2 linked regions of the Drosophila melanogaster genome follow. Changing the gene in region 2 together with the main gene of any one other region gives a genetic interaction. Each region holds a gene or a part of one and is shown on either strand. Other genes may lie near its edges.

The links.
Region 1: of scrt (region 2) and dpn, changing one enhances a phenotype caused by changing the other (phenotypic enhancement), as found in Drosophila melanogaster (one study listed by BioGRID).

Annotation. Positions count from the first base shown.
Region 1 is NT_033778.4:8,228,384-8,234,341, reverse strand, and holds dpn (deadpan), read left to right. Parts: upstream 1-2,011; 5' UTR 2,012-2,293; coding exon 2,294-2,419; intron 2,420-2,647; coding exon 2,648-2,743; intron 2,744-2,753; exon of another isoform or gene 2,754-3,238; intron 3,239-3,276; exon of another isoform or gene 3,277-3,839; coding exon 3,840-4,925; 3' UTR 4,926-5,371; downstream 5,372-5,958. Other genes in the region: CG34217 (uncharacterized protein), read left to right, coding at 5,727-5,958. UniProt on the Drosophila melanogaster protein: Transcriptional repressor of genes that require a bHLH protein for their transcription.
Region 2 is NT_037436.4:3,982,081-3,987,169, forward strand, and holds the start of scrt (scratch), read left to right. Parts: upstream 1-1,815; 5' UTR 1,816-2,983; coding exon 2,984-3,410; intron 3,411-4,443; coding exon 4,444-5,089.

The sequences.
Region 1 (5,958 bases), on a different chromosome or scaffold from region 2:
AAAAAAGGAAAGAAAGAAAGAGGAGAAGCCACAGCAGCAGCGGCGTTTGGGGCTGATATTGAACTTTGATTTCTGACTGGTTTCTTCGTTATAGAATTTCAATTCTCAGTTTCTGAAGAAGCTCTGCAGACTCTGCACGTTTCGCCAGACGATTGATCCACATATGTCGGATGGTTCTGAGGTTTCTTCTCCCTGGCCCATGGCACTTTTACATTTTGCCAGCTCATCGTGCTTATTTCGGGTTTCGTGGGAAAATGTTTGCCAAATTTGCGGCGTTCAAAGGAGCCAAAGTGATCGCCATTAAGCAGGGTGATGTGCTCATCAGTGCAGAATTCAGCCGAACCCCATGGTTTAGTTGCTGTGGATGTTTTAGTTGGTCAATCGTAGCCGTGGCATTTATTCAATTTACGAAAGTTGACATCGGATCAGTGCTGCAGAGCTTGTGCATGATGGATGATCGCCACAGATTATTGCTCAACACGGGATTTACGCTCAGGCCGCGAGGGATCACTTTGCACAACCAGGGTTGCCAGGCGGCGCAATACGTTTACGATCCCACCCAAAACTCCCCAAATCGGTCCATAGGTAGATCTACGTCAGCTGTCAGCTGGCGCATGGCCCGCGTCAGTGGTTATTGACAACTCCTTTGGTCGTAATCCTGCCAACATCGTAAAGTAATAAATTTGCCTGAAAAAGGAAAATCTGCCGGGGATCGACTATAAAAATTGGCCCAGCCAGGTAAGCTCCGTAATGATTGACCCCGACCCTCAGTCCCAGACCCACGACCGATCCAGGTCCGATTCCGATCCATTGCAAGTCGCGATTCCGTCCCGAAACCCAAGCAACCCCCTAAGACGCTTCTGCCGATGAGCCGACCAGGCAAAAGCGAAGAATTTGAAACTAAGGATTTCGCCTTGCAAGGGGGTTGGGTTGTCACGGGGGTTGCGGCAGCTGCGCCGAACAATTGCCAAGGAGTTCTCCTTAATGAATTGCAAATCATTCGCCGGGCATTGATCAAGTTTGTCCTTGCCAAGGGTGAAATCTGTGCGACTAAATGTGCCATCAGCCAGCCACCCAAAAGGGAAACGGACACAAACGGAACATCTGTCGCAAATAATGCTACTCACTGATAACTTATAGAAAATCTCACTTGATACATTTTTTAAGGAACTAAAGATTTTTTGCTTTGCTTTAGCAAATTTCAAGTACTAAAGAAGAATCGCTGTTAATTCTCTGAATATAGTTCATATTTTTGTTAACTATTGCTTTAATCAATTCATTAAAAGTAATAAGCAAGTAAAAAGTAAAAAAAAGTAAAGTAATAATATTCATAAGATTTATAGTAGCTTTGTATAATTATTGCTAAATATATGAATATTCTAAAACAAATAGATTGGGTATTAAGTCGGCTTCGACACGAATTAGAAGATTAAATTCAGTTATAAATTTTTGTTAAATTGTAATAAACTTTAAATTCATTAATGATATGTTATTGATTTTAATGCTTAATTTCCTTCAAAATTATTTAATATACAATGCTTGCTGTATTTTACAATAAAATCAACTAAATTTTGTGGGTTTCGTCAAGCCAAAGGCTAATGACTTGGCTTAACCGAATGTTGTGTTGTTTCTCGATCAGGCTCGACTTAGTCTCGTTTACTTGAGTTAAGCTCCTATTTTCACTAATCCCCTGGAATCCGCAATTCGTTGACTCGGCAACTCTGCCTGCCTGGGAATACCTACTCAAATACTCACTTAAATCTCACTCCGAGTGTGAACTCATTGGATTTGGGGTGGTTATGCACTCACTCACTCTCCGATTGAGCGCAACTGCGCTGCTGCGGTGAAAAGTTCTCAGTCTGCGGACGGCGATCGTTGGGCTGCCTACCTGCCTCAGCTCTGCCTCTGCCGCTGCCCGCGTCGCCAGGTAAGAGAGTCCCTCGGTTTCACTCGTGGACTCGTTTCGGCTTCGACCCGATTCGTTTTTAGCTGGTGCCCGTGGACTCGGAGGATCAGTATCCTTTTGGCATCTCGCGAGCGCGGTCGTCTGCCGCTCTCCTTTGAATGAACATTTAAAATACTATTCTATACGATTCGATAACCAGAACGATCTTTAACGCGTACCGCTTGTTAAGTTTTTGTTGTTCGGACATTACTAAGAAGTACGTGCAATAATTGTTATAACTATTTTCGTACTCGAACCAAAGTTATTGTGTTGTGAAAAAGACCAAATCGAAATCGAACTATCTTGGATTATCTCCCACTTGGATATACAAATTAAAATCGTTACAAAATGGATTACAAAAACGATATTAATTCCGACGACGATTTCGACTGCTCCAACGGCTATAGCGACAGCTATGGCTCCAATGGACGCATGTCCAATCCCAATGGATTGTCAAAAGCAGAACTTAGAAAGGTGAGTTCGCTCTTTTGCGATGAAATTGGACTCGCAAACTAAAAAATAGCAGAGTTTATTAGCACCCTCGATCGTTTTGAACCTTTTCATTTTAATGGCTTAGAAAATGTAAAGCATTAAATTAATTTTAAAAATCAAGTGAAACCCTTGTTTTATATAAACAAAGATATCCCTTAAACTGAAATAAATTCCTACGAAATAAACTAATTGATTCCCTTTCTTTTCTAGACCAACAAACCGATTATGGAGAAACGTCGCCGAGCTCGCATTAATCACTGCCTCAACGAACTGAAGTCCCTTATCCTGGAGGCGATGAAAAAAGACGTAAGTATCTTGCCCGAGCGTCAAAGCAGAAAAGGAGCGGTCCGCCCGCGAATTAGAAACTAGCCCCCGATCCCTTTTGGTTCACTTTCTTATAAATAATGTTAGTCCACAAAAAAAAACCTTTAAGGCACAAGTGTCCGAAGGGCGGCAGAACTACAAAAGAACAAAAAAATGTATAAAAAACGAACTCCTACGACACAAGAACTGAAAAAAAAAACACAAACCAAGGGCTCTAATTGAGTATTAAATTTTATTGATGATCATTACACTAGAGCGCCGACGAGGAGTCAGTCAAGAGACCAAAAAGTGTTAACAAGTCGAGGAATTACGCAGAAATCGCCGGAGATGCGAACGAAACCAGTTTCCAAGGAGTGATCCTGCTGTGAGAAACTACAAAGCAGAAATCAAGTAAAATTTGCCGCCGCAGAATTCTGCAGGAGAGCCGGACCAAAAATCAAATAAGAAAGACATTGAGGGAAAAAAGCAAAAGTAAACAAAAGGTTCAGACAGGGGAGCGGGGGAGGTTGAGGGGGCGGGGCTGGCGAGCGACCTGCGTGGGAACCTTTTGCTAAAATATGCAGTCCCAGCGGCGAGAAAGGGACGAACAATCGGGGACCGAAGACTGGCGAAGATCGCACTGCGCGAAAAAAGAAGATCAGGAAGAACGATTTGGAATCTTCTGTGCCCAAAAAGTCTTCATATGAGATCACAAACGATAAGATCGGCGAGTAGTTTATTTTAGAACCACTTACTAAAGACAGTCACTTTTCCATCATTAGTATTCACTTGCCAGAAAATTTGACTTTAAGCCCCCTTTTTGCTCAGTGCACAGTAGCAAGATCAGTCGTTCTTCTCGCTGGAGTTGCTGAATCTCACCTTGGTCGTGTGATATTTACAGAGTGGACTCGACTGAAGTGGACTGCAGATTACACGCGAATAGTTGGACATATGAGGCACGAAACGTGCTTCTTAACTTCGCTTTTTCCCAAGCTATTGAACTTGTTGTAGGGCCCCAAACAATTAGCCCGACCATCTCCCACCCCATCCCCATTTCATCATTATCTGACTTTGGTTCCTTCGTCTTCTATACTTTTAGCCGGCTCGTCATACCAAACTGGAGAAGGCCGACATACTTGAGATGACGGTGAAGCATCTGCAGTCGGTGCAGCGCCAGCAGCTCAACATGGCCATCCAATCGGATCCCAGCGTTGTCCAGAAGTTCAAGACGGGATTCGTTGAGTGCGCGGAGGAGGTGAACCGCTATGTAAGCCAAATGGATGGCATCGATACCGGTGTTCGTCAGCGGCTCAGCGCCCATCTTAACCAGTGTGCCAATAGTCTGGAGCAGATCGGTTCGATGAGCAACTTCAGCAATGGATACCGTGGTGGCTTGTTTCCCGCCACAGCTGTCACGGCTGCTCCCACTCCGCTGTTTCCCTCGTTGCCGCAGGACTTGAACAACAACAGCCGCACGGAGTCATCGGCTCCGGCCATCCAAATGGGTGGACTTCAGCTAATTCCCTCCCGCCTGCCCTCGGGAGAGTTTGCCCTCATCATGCCGAACACAGGTTCCGCTGCTCCGCCTCCGGGACCCTTTGCCTGGCCAGGATCTGCAGCGGGAGTCGCAGCTGGAACAGCCAGTGCCGCCTTGGCCAGCATTGCCAATCCCACACATCTAAATGACTATACACAGAGCTTCAGGATGAGCGCGTTCAGCAAACCGGTCAATACCTCAGTTCCGGCCAATCTTCCGGAAAACCTCATCCACACACTGCCCGGCCAAACGCAGCTGCCGGTGAAGAACAGCACAAGCCCACCGCTGAGCCCAATCTCCTCCATCTCCAGCCACTGCGAGGAGTCCCGGGCTGCCTCGCCCACCGTGGATGTGATGAGCAAGCACAGTTTCGCCGGCGTCTTCTCAACTCCGCCACCAACCAGCGCGGAGACCTCCTTCAACACCAGCGGATCCCTCAACTTGAGTGCCGGAAGCCACGACAGCAGCGGATGCTCGCGACCGCTGGCCCACTTGCAGCAACAGCAAGTGAGCTCCACCAGCGGAATCGCCAAGCGCGACAGGGAGGCGGAGGCCGAGTCCAGCGACTGCTCCCTGGACGAGCCCTCGTCCAAGAAATTCCTAGCTGGCGCCATCGAAAAGTCGAGCTCCGCTTGGAGGCCGTGGTAGATCAACCGCACAGGCCACTTCTATGTTACGTTTATACATTGTTAATTTATTTCATTGCAATTTTTTCAAAGATCACTTCAATGCTTTAGAACCCCATTAAGTTTCAACGATTTCTATATGTTTTTATGTATCCCCGTTTCGCTTTCTTCATTTTAAGTTCAGCTGTGATTTTGTATATTTTTTGTGTAGTTCTCGTTTAAGCGCTTTATACGACTATTATGTAGTTCATTAAATAATTATGTTCTTTAATGTTTCATTAACTGCTCAAGTATTTAAACAATTAAACGTGTTTCTATTTAAGTTATGTAGTTTTCATTGTATAGCGTTTATCATTAGGTCATTCACGTTTCTATATTAGTGTTTTAATTTAACGATTGTAATTTTAACTTTTAGGTAATGCAAAATTCGATGGAGTGAAAATAATGATAATAAAAAAAAAATGCTGCAAAAGAAAAATCCATCCAAATTTAATGGTTCCTTGGTTCTTAACTGATTAGAATTGGAAAATTCAAGATCGCATCAACAATCAATAGTACTTGAACTCATTGAAAAGTCGGAAGCTGAATTCAAATCAATACGGAAACAGCCTTATCATGTATGTTCGATGTTTTCGCAAAGTTTGATTGAAAAGATAACTCAATCGAAAGCTCCCAATCCATGCTATATAAGCAATAGGCGGAACACATTTAGTGTGTCAAAAACTAAATTATTGCAATCAAGAGCGCGCAGTGACTTTCAGGCGTGCATTGAAAAATCTCAGAAATTATAAAAACAATTTAATTGAAAAATTTTAATTTTACCATGCCAGGAAATCTGTTTCAAGTGTTACTAACTGTGGCGATCCTGCCAGCTATTAGTTTGGCATCTAGTTCTGAAGATGGTCTGCACCATTACCGTGCTTCTCCAAAGCTCACGGGTCCTGTGAAGCTCCTACACGATCCCGAGGACACCATTCTGAACACCTTGGATGGCGCTCTGGAGAAGATCTCCACCATCTACATGCAGGCCTTGTTCGCTGGTACCCACACCCCGG
Region 2 (5,089 bases):
TCACTCCGCGAGATGGATGGACAGATATTTGGAGCGGTGGGCACTTCTTGGTTTTCCTCAAAAAATTCGAAATAGTTTAAACAGGGAAACCATAGAAAAAAGGTTGCATCTGTTTCGAGTGGGGCACAGGAAGTGGGTTCAACGAAGGACCCCGGGGGATACCATAGTAAACCGAATGAAAATTCCAATGAAAAGTATATATAATTTTTAAGGACTGCAGCCGCTGCAGAAGCGACGCTAAGCTCGTCTGAGGCAGACAAATTGTCTGTTGTCGCTGGCTAATTAAAAGGTTAAGAACTTTGTAATTTAAGTGTCTGATTATGCAAAGCCCGAGCTCCCCGTTCAGCTAACCGAAGCTCCACTTTAATTAATTAGTTTTGTGTGTGTTGCACTGACTGGGAATGCGAACAGATTGTATATGTAAGTAAGTCGCTTCTCAAGATGTTCTAGGGATTTTATGGTGGGTCATCTTGAACGCATTGTTTGAAAGCATTTCAAGGATTCTCTAAGGTTTTTACTTTAATCGAAGTAAGGTTAGTACTACATTTTAAAGTAGTATGTTACGAGTTATCTCTAGATAATGATTCTAGTTCTAATAGGTTCAATTAATAGCCAAACAAATGTTTTTACAAATATAAATATTGCTATAGACTTCACATAGCTGGACCCCTTTGCGGGCATCAAAAAACCCTGGAAATCCATCCCAAAATCGTGTTCATTTCATACTGGGAGTGTGGCATATGACACATCCAGCTGTCAATCAAACCCAACTCGGCAGGAGCTGCAATTAATCATCCAACGATTTGAGTTGCCGCACTCATATCCGACCTCTGTGATCTGAAAAGTAAACCACTTATTCATGGCCAGTGGAGAGCCGTCAGTGCAGAGAGACGAGGGCGACAGAAGTTAGTTTGTGCTGTTTATCTTGTACTAACTGAGTTAGGGCCAAGGACCAGCGACTGTTGCATCCCCTCAACCCGTTACCCCAACCAGCATAGTATATATGTTTACGGGAAAGTAGCGTACACCCCCCTTTGGCCATCCCGTCGCTGGCAATTTGTTCAAAATCAGAGCCAGCAACAAATGCAATGCAACAGCAATTAACTCGGCACAACTGCCACATTCTGGGCGCAAAATCCACCCCGTGTATCGTGAATGGGAGCCTCAGGCGGCCAAGAGCCAAGAGGCAAGAGCCGCGAGCCCCAAGCCGAAAAAGTTCCAAAAGGGCCAAAGAGCCATGAGCCAATTCTCAGGTATGGCTGGGGGTCCGGTGCCTCCACGTCGAAAGAAAGAGACCGAGTGGGAGAAGGTGGGGAAATGGAAAGAGAGAGGCGCAACAATTTTGAAATCGGGAGAAAGCAACAGCGGGGAATGTTTTGGCAATGAAACACTTCCTGATTGTTGCCTTTGCTCTAGGGCGCTGGCACACGATGCGATTTCTTAGAAGATATGTTAGAAAACTCTTTGTTTTTAAGGGTTTCACTGGTATTTTAGGCATGAAGGCCAGCACTAAGTTATGTTTTATTCTTTTGGCCGCTATTACCTTATGTTATTTCAGTGATTTAGGTTTCTTGAGCATATTCCATCGTGTGTACCAGCCCACAGGACGAGCAACAGCAATAGCAACAGCTATGCGCTTCCTTTCTGGGGGTTGGAACTTAGGGGCTGTGCCGCTCTCAGCGTTCCGCTCTCTGGCGCTCCAGTGCTCTCGCTCTTCCCTTCGGCTCGTTTCGGCTGCAAGGCGACGCGGTTCGGCTGGCTGTCGTTATGCTGGGGGTGGACCACCCTTATAAGCGGGCTCTCGGGCCGCAAGACTCTCATAAGCATTCAAGAGTTGCTTACGTTCGGTTCGTTCGCATTTCTTCTCTATCTTATATAATATTATATTTTCTCCTAAATCAATTTTTTCACTACCAACAACAACAACAATAATAACAACTCAACTATTCTCAACTCGCGTCAACCTTAACTTTCTCAAAAACAACAAACTACAACTCTACCACTACCAATCTGTCAACTTTCCGTTTTTAAACTGAAACTGCAAACCAAAACATTTATTTTCGTCTCGACGGCCATTGACAAAGTTTTGTTTTCCAAAAACCCGAGGAGAAAATTGCCAGCCCAAAAAGAGTTGAAAGGATACCCCAAAGATTCGTTCAAAAATCGTCCCCCCGTTATGTTTTGAGTTCAATTCCGTGTTGAAAACAAACGTGAACGTAAACGCAAATGTAAATGTAAAAATCGATAAGCCACACGCAGCCAGCCAACTGAACGCGAACGTGTCCGTGTGTGTTTCGTGGAGCGAGGGGATTGAACGGGGGGAACTGACCAAAAATCGGTGGCCCTGGCCAAAAACGCAAAAACTCCGGCCCAAAAAGAAAAAAAAAAATACAAGAAAAGCAAAGCAAAGCAAAGTAAAGCAGAGCAGAACAGAGCAGAGAGAGCGACTCGAAACTCCAGCCCAAATGACGGATACGGGTCTGACAACGAATCAAGCGCCGAAATGTGTGAAGTGGCTGTGAAACCCGAGGAATCCTAACTAAAAACCAAACCAATTTACAATAAAATGCAAATTACTAAGAATATTTAACCGAAACGCACCAGACCACACCACTCCACTCCACACACACAGACAGACACACGAGACACGGCAGAAATGCCAGGCCTGAAATTCAACAAGCTGTACGACTAAAACTTTAAGAGATCTTTCGGCGAGCCAAACTCTATATACAATATATATATATATATATATATATATTAATATATATATTTTCCCATGCGAGATAACAACAGCAACGTTTCCTTTCCGCTTTTGCCACAAATAATACCCCCTGAGACGGTCTTTGCTCGCTCGAAACTCGACACTAGCTTCAGCACTTAGCCCTCTAAGATCTACTAACTGGATCCTGATCAAGCTCCTAGCCAAAACTCCAACTCCAACTCCAAAACCTCTAATCTACAAAGAAAAAAAAAAACACAGAAAATGCCGCGCTGCCTGATAGCCAAGAAGTGGAAGGCCTATCCCTGGCTGGATCGGACGGAGGATACTAGCAACCAGCAACAGCAGCAGGAGCAGAGTGCCCCCAACTCGCCTCGCGAACTGGAGGAGCTGCATCTCAAGTCCAGACGCTCCACCCTGGACGACGACGAGGAGATCGATGTGGTGGGCGACAAATTCCTGATCAAATTGGAGAAGCAACGCACAACAGCAGATGCTGCCGCAGCAGCAGCAACATCATCCGAAGCAGCAACATCGCACAGCAGCAACAGCAGCAACATGGAGGCATCGGCGACGACGACGACGTCCAAGTGCTGGGGACCCAGTTCACCCACGGCGGGCACCACGGCTCCAAGTCCGCCTCCCCATTCGCCGGAGGCGGCGACGCGAGTGGCCGGCAATGTTTACAACGGTAAGTTAGCCCTCGGGAAAGTCGGGAAATCGGAAAACACTGCTCCAGCCAGTGAGGCGGGGGTGGTGGAAATCGAGATGGGGCGCACGTAATCGCTGTCATTGATGTGGCCATTGTGCGATTGCGAAACAATTCCGAATCAATTTAATTGCCTTTGTTGTCACTCAATATTGTTTGCAATTCCGGCCAGCGGGCCACAAAACGCAGAACGCACAGACCCTCGCCGACTTCCTACTGCCAACTTCCAGCTCGGTTTCCATTCCCTTTGGCGTGAAAACAATGGTACAGGCCAAAATTAAACCGTTTGCCTTCGTCCTTTTTGTTGAATGTGTGCCTGTCACTGTTTTCCACGTACAATTGCGAAATTAATTATTCAGTGGAAATTAGAAGCAAGGCAGACCTAAAAACCACTCACAATAGACATCCTTTCTATAGGTTTAGGCTTTAAAAGCTAAAAATAACTTACTACGAAACAGATTTAAAGTAATTGCACTAACCCATTTTTTAGCTGTGAGCTGTTGCTCTTCTGTGTACTTTTCTACTTCGCCAAAGTTCTTATTTTGCGGAGAAAATCCTTTGAGCAAACATAATATTTTCCAGCACATACAAAATAGTTATCTTAGCACAACTCCAGGCGTGGTCTTTGATATTTATGTTGACCTTTTAAAGTTTGCCCTTGGTTAAAAGAAATTATACGCATGTGTCAGTCCTTCATATTTAAATGAAAGCTATTGTTTAAAGTTTGTTAAAGAAAATATCTTAAGAATGGCAGAGGGTAAATGTTTTGGCAGCTTATAAAGAAAAGGAAACGGAAAAATTATAATCACAAAGAAATTATAAGTGCATGTCTAGGAAGTTTAAGCGAATCATATACTCTACATCCGACTACATTAAGTATATTTTCCGGCACAAAAACATTACAATGACTGAAACTCTTATTTCAAAAGAAAAAAGTGTAGCATACTTCAGGAACCATGATAAATGCTGCTGAATAAAACTTAACCCATGATTTAATTTTTTCTGCTTTTTACAGGCTACACCCGCGAACTTTCGCCGCTGCACTACACCGCGTACCTGCCCCGCATGGAGAGCGAGATAACCGTGATCCGTGCCGCGGCTACAGCTCTGGTGGCAGCCAGGACATCCGGAAACGGAAGTGGAGATCAGCACCTGGCCGCCTACCAAACGCCGCCCTCGTCCACCACGTCATCACCCTCTTGTTCGCCCAGCGGCGCCGGCGATCGGTACAGTCCGCTCTCGAGTGGACAGACCTCCAGTGAAAGGAAGTGCTTCAGCAGTACGGGAGCCACACTGTCGCTGCCGCCGAAGAAGAAGGACATCTACAGGCCGTATTCCTTGGACGACAAGCCGGCGCACGGCTATCGAAGAAGGGTACCGGCGGAGGAGGACCTGCATGCGGCACATGCTATCCTGGATCTGAGTGCGAGCACAGCCTTCCACCCGCCCACGCAACCTCACCAGTTGCAGCAGCAGCAACAGCAGCAGCAGCAGCAGCATCAGCATCACCACTCCCAGCAGCAACACCTTGCCCCGCAGCAACATCACTACTTGCCACTGCAGCAGCAACAGCAGCAGCAGGCACACCACACCCACTTGCCAACTCTCGAGGCGCATGCGCATCTGCGCAGCACGTCATCGATTGCCGAACTGGCTGCAGC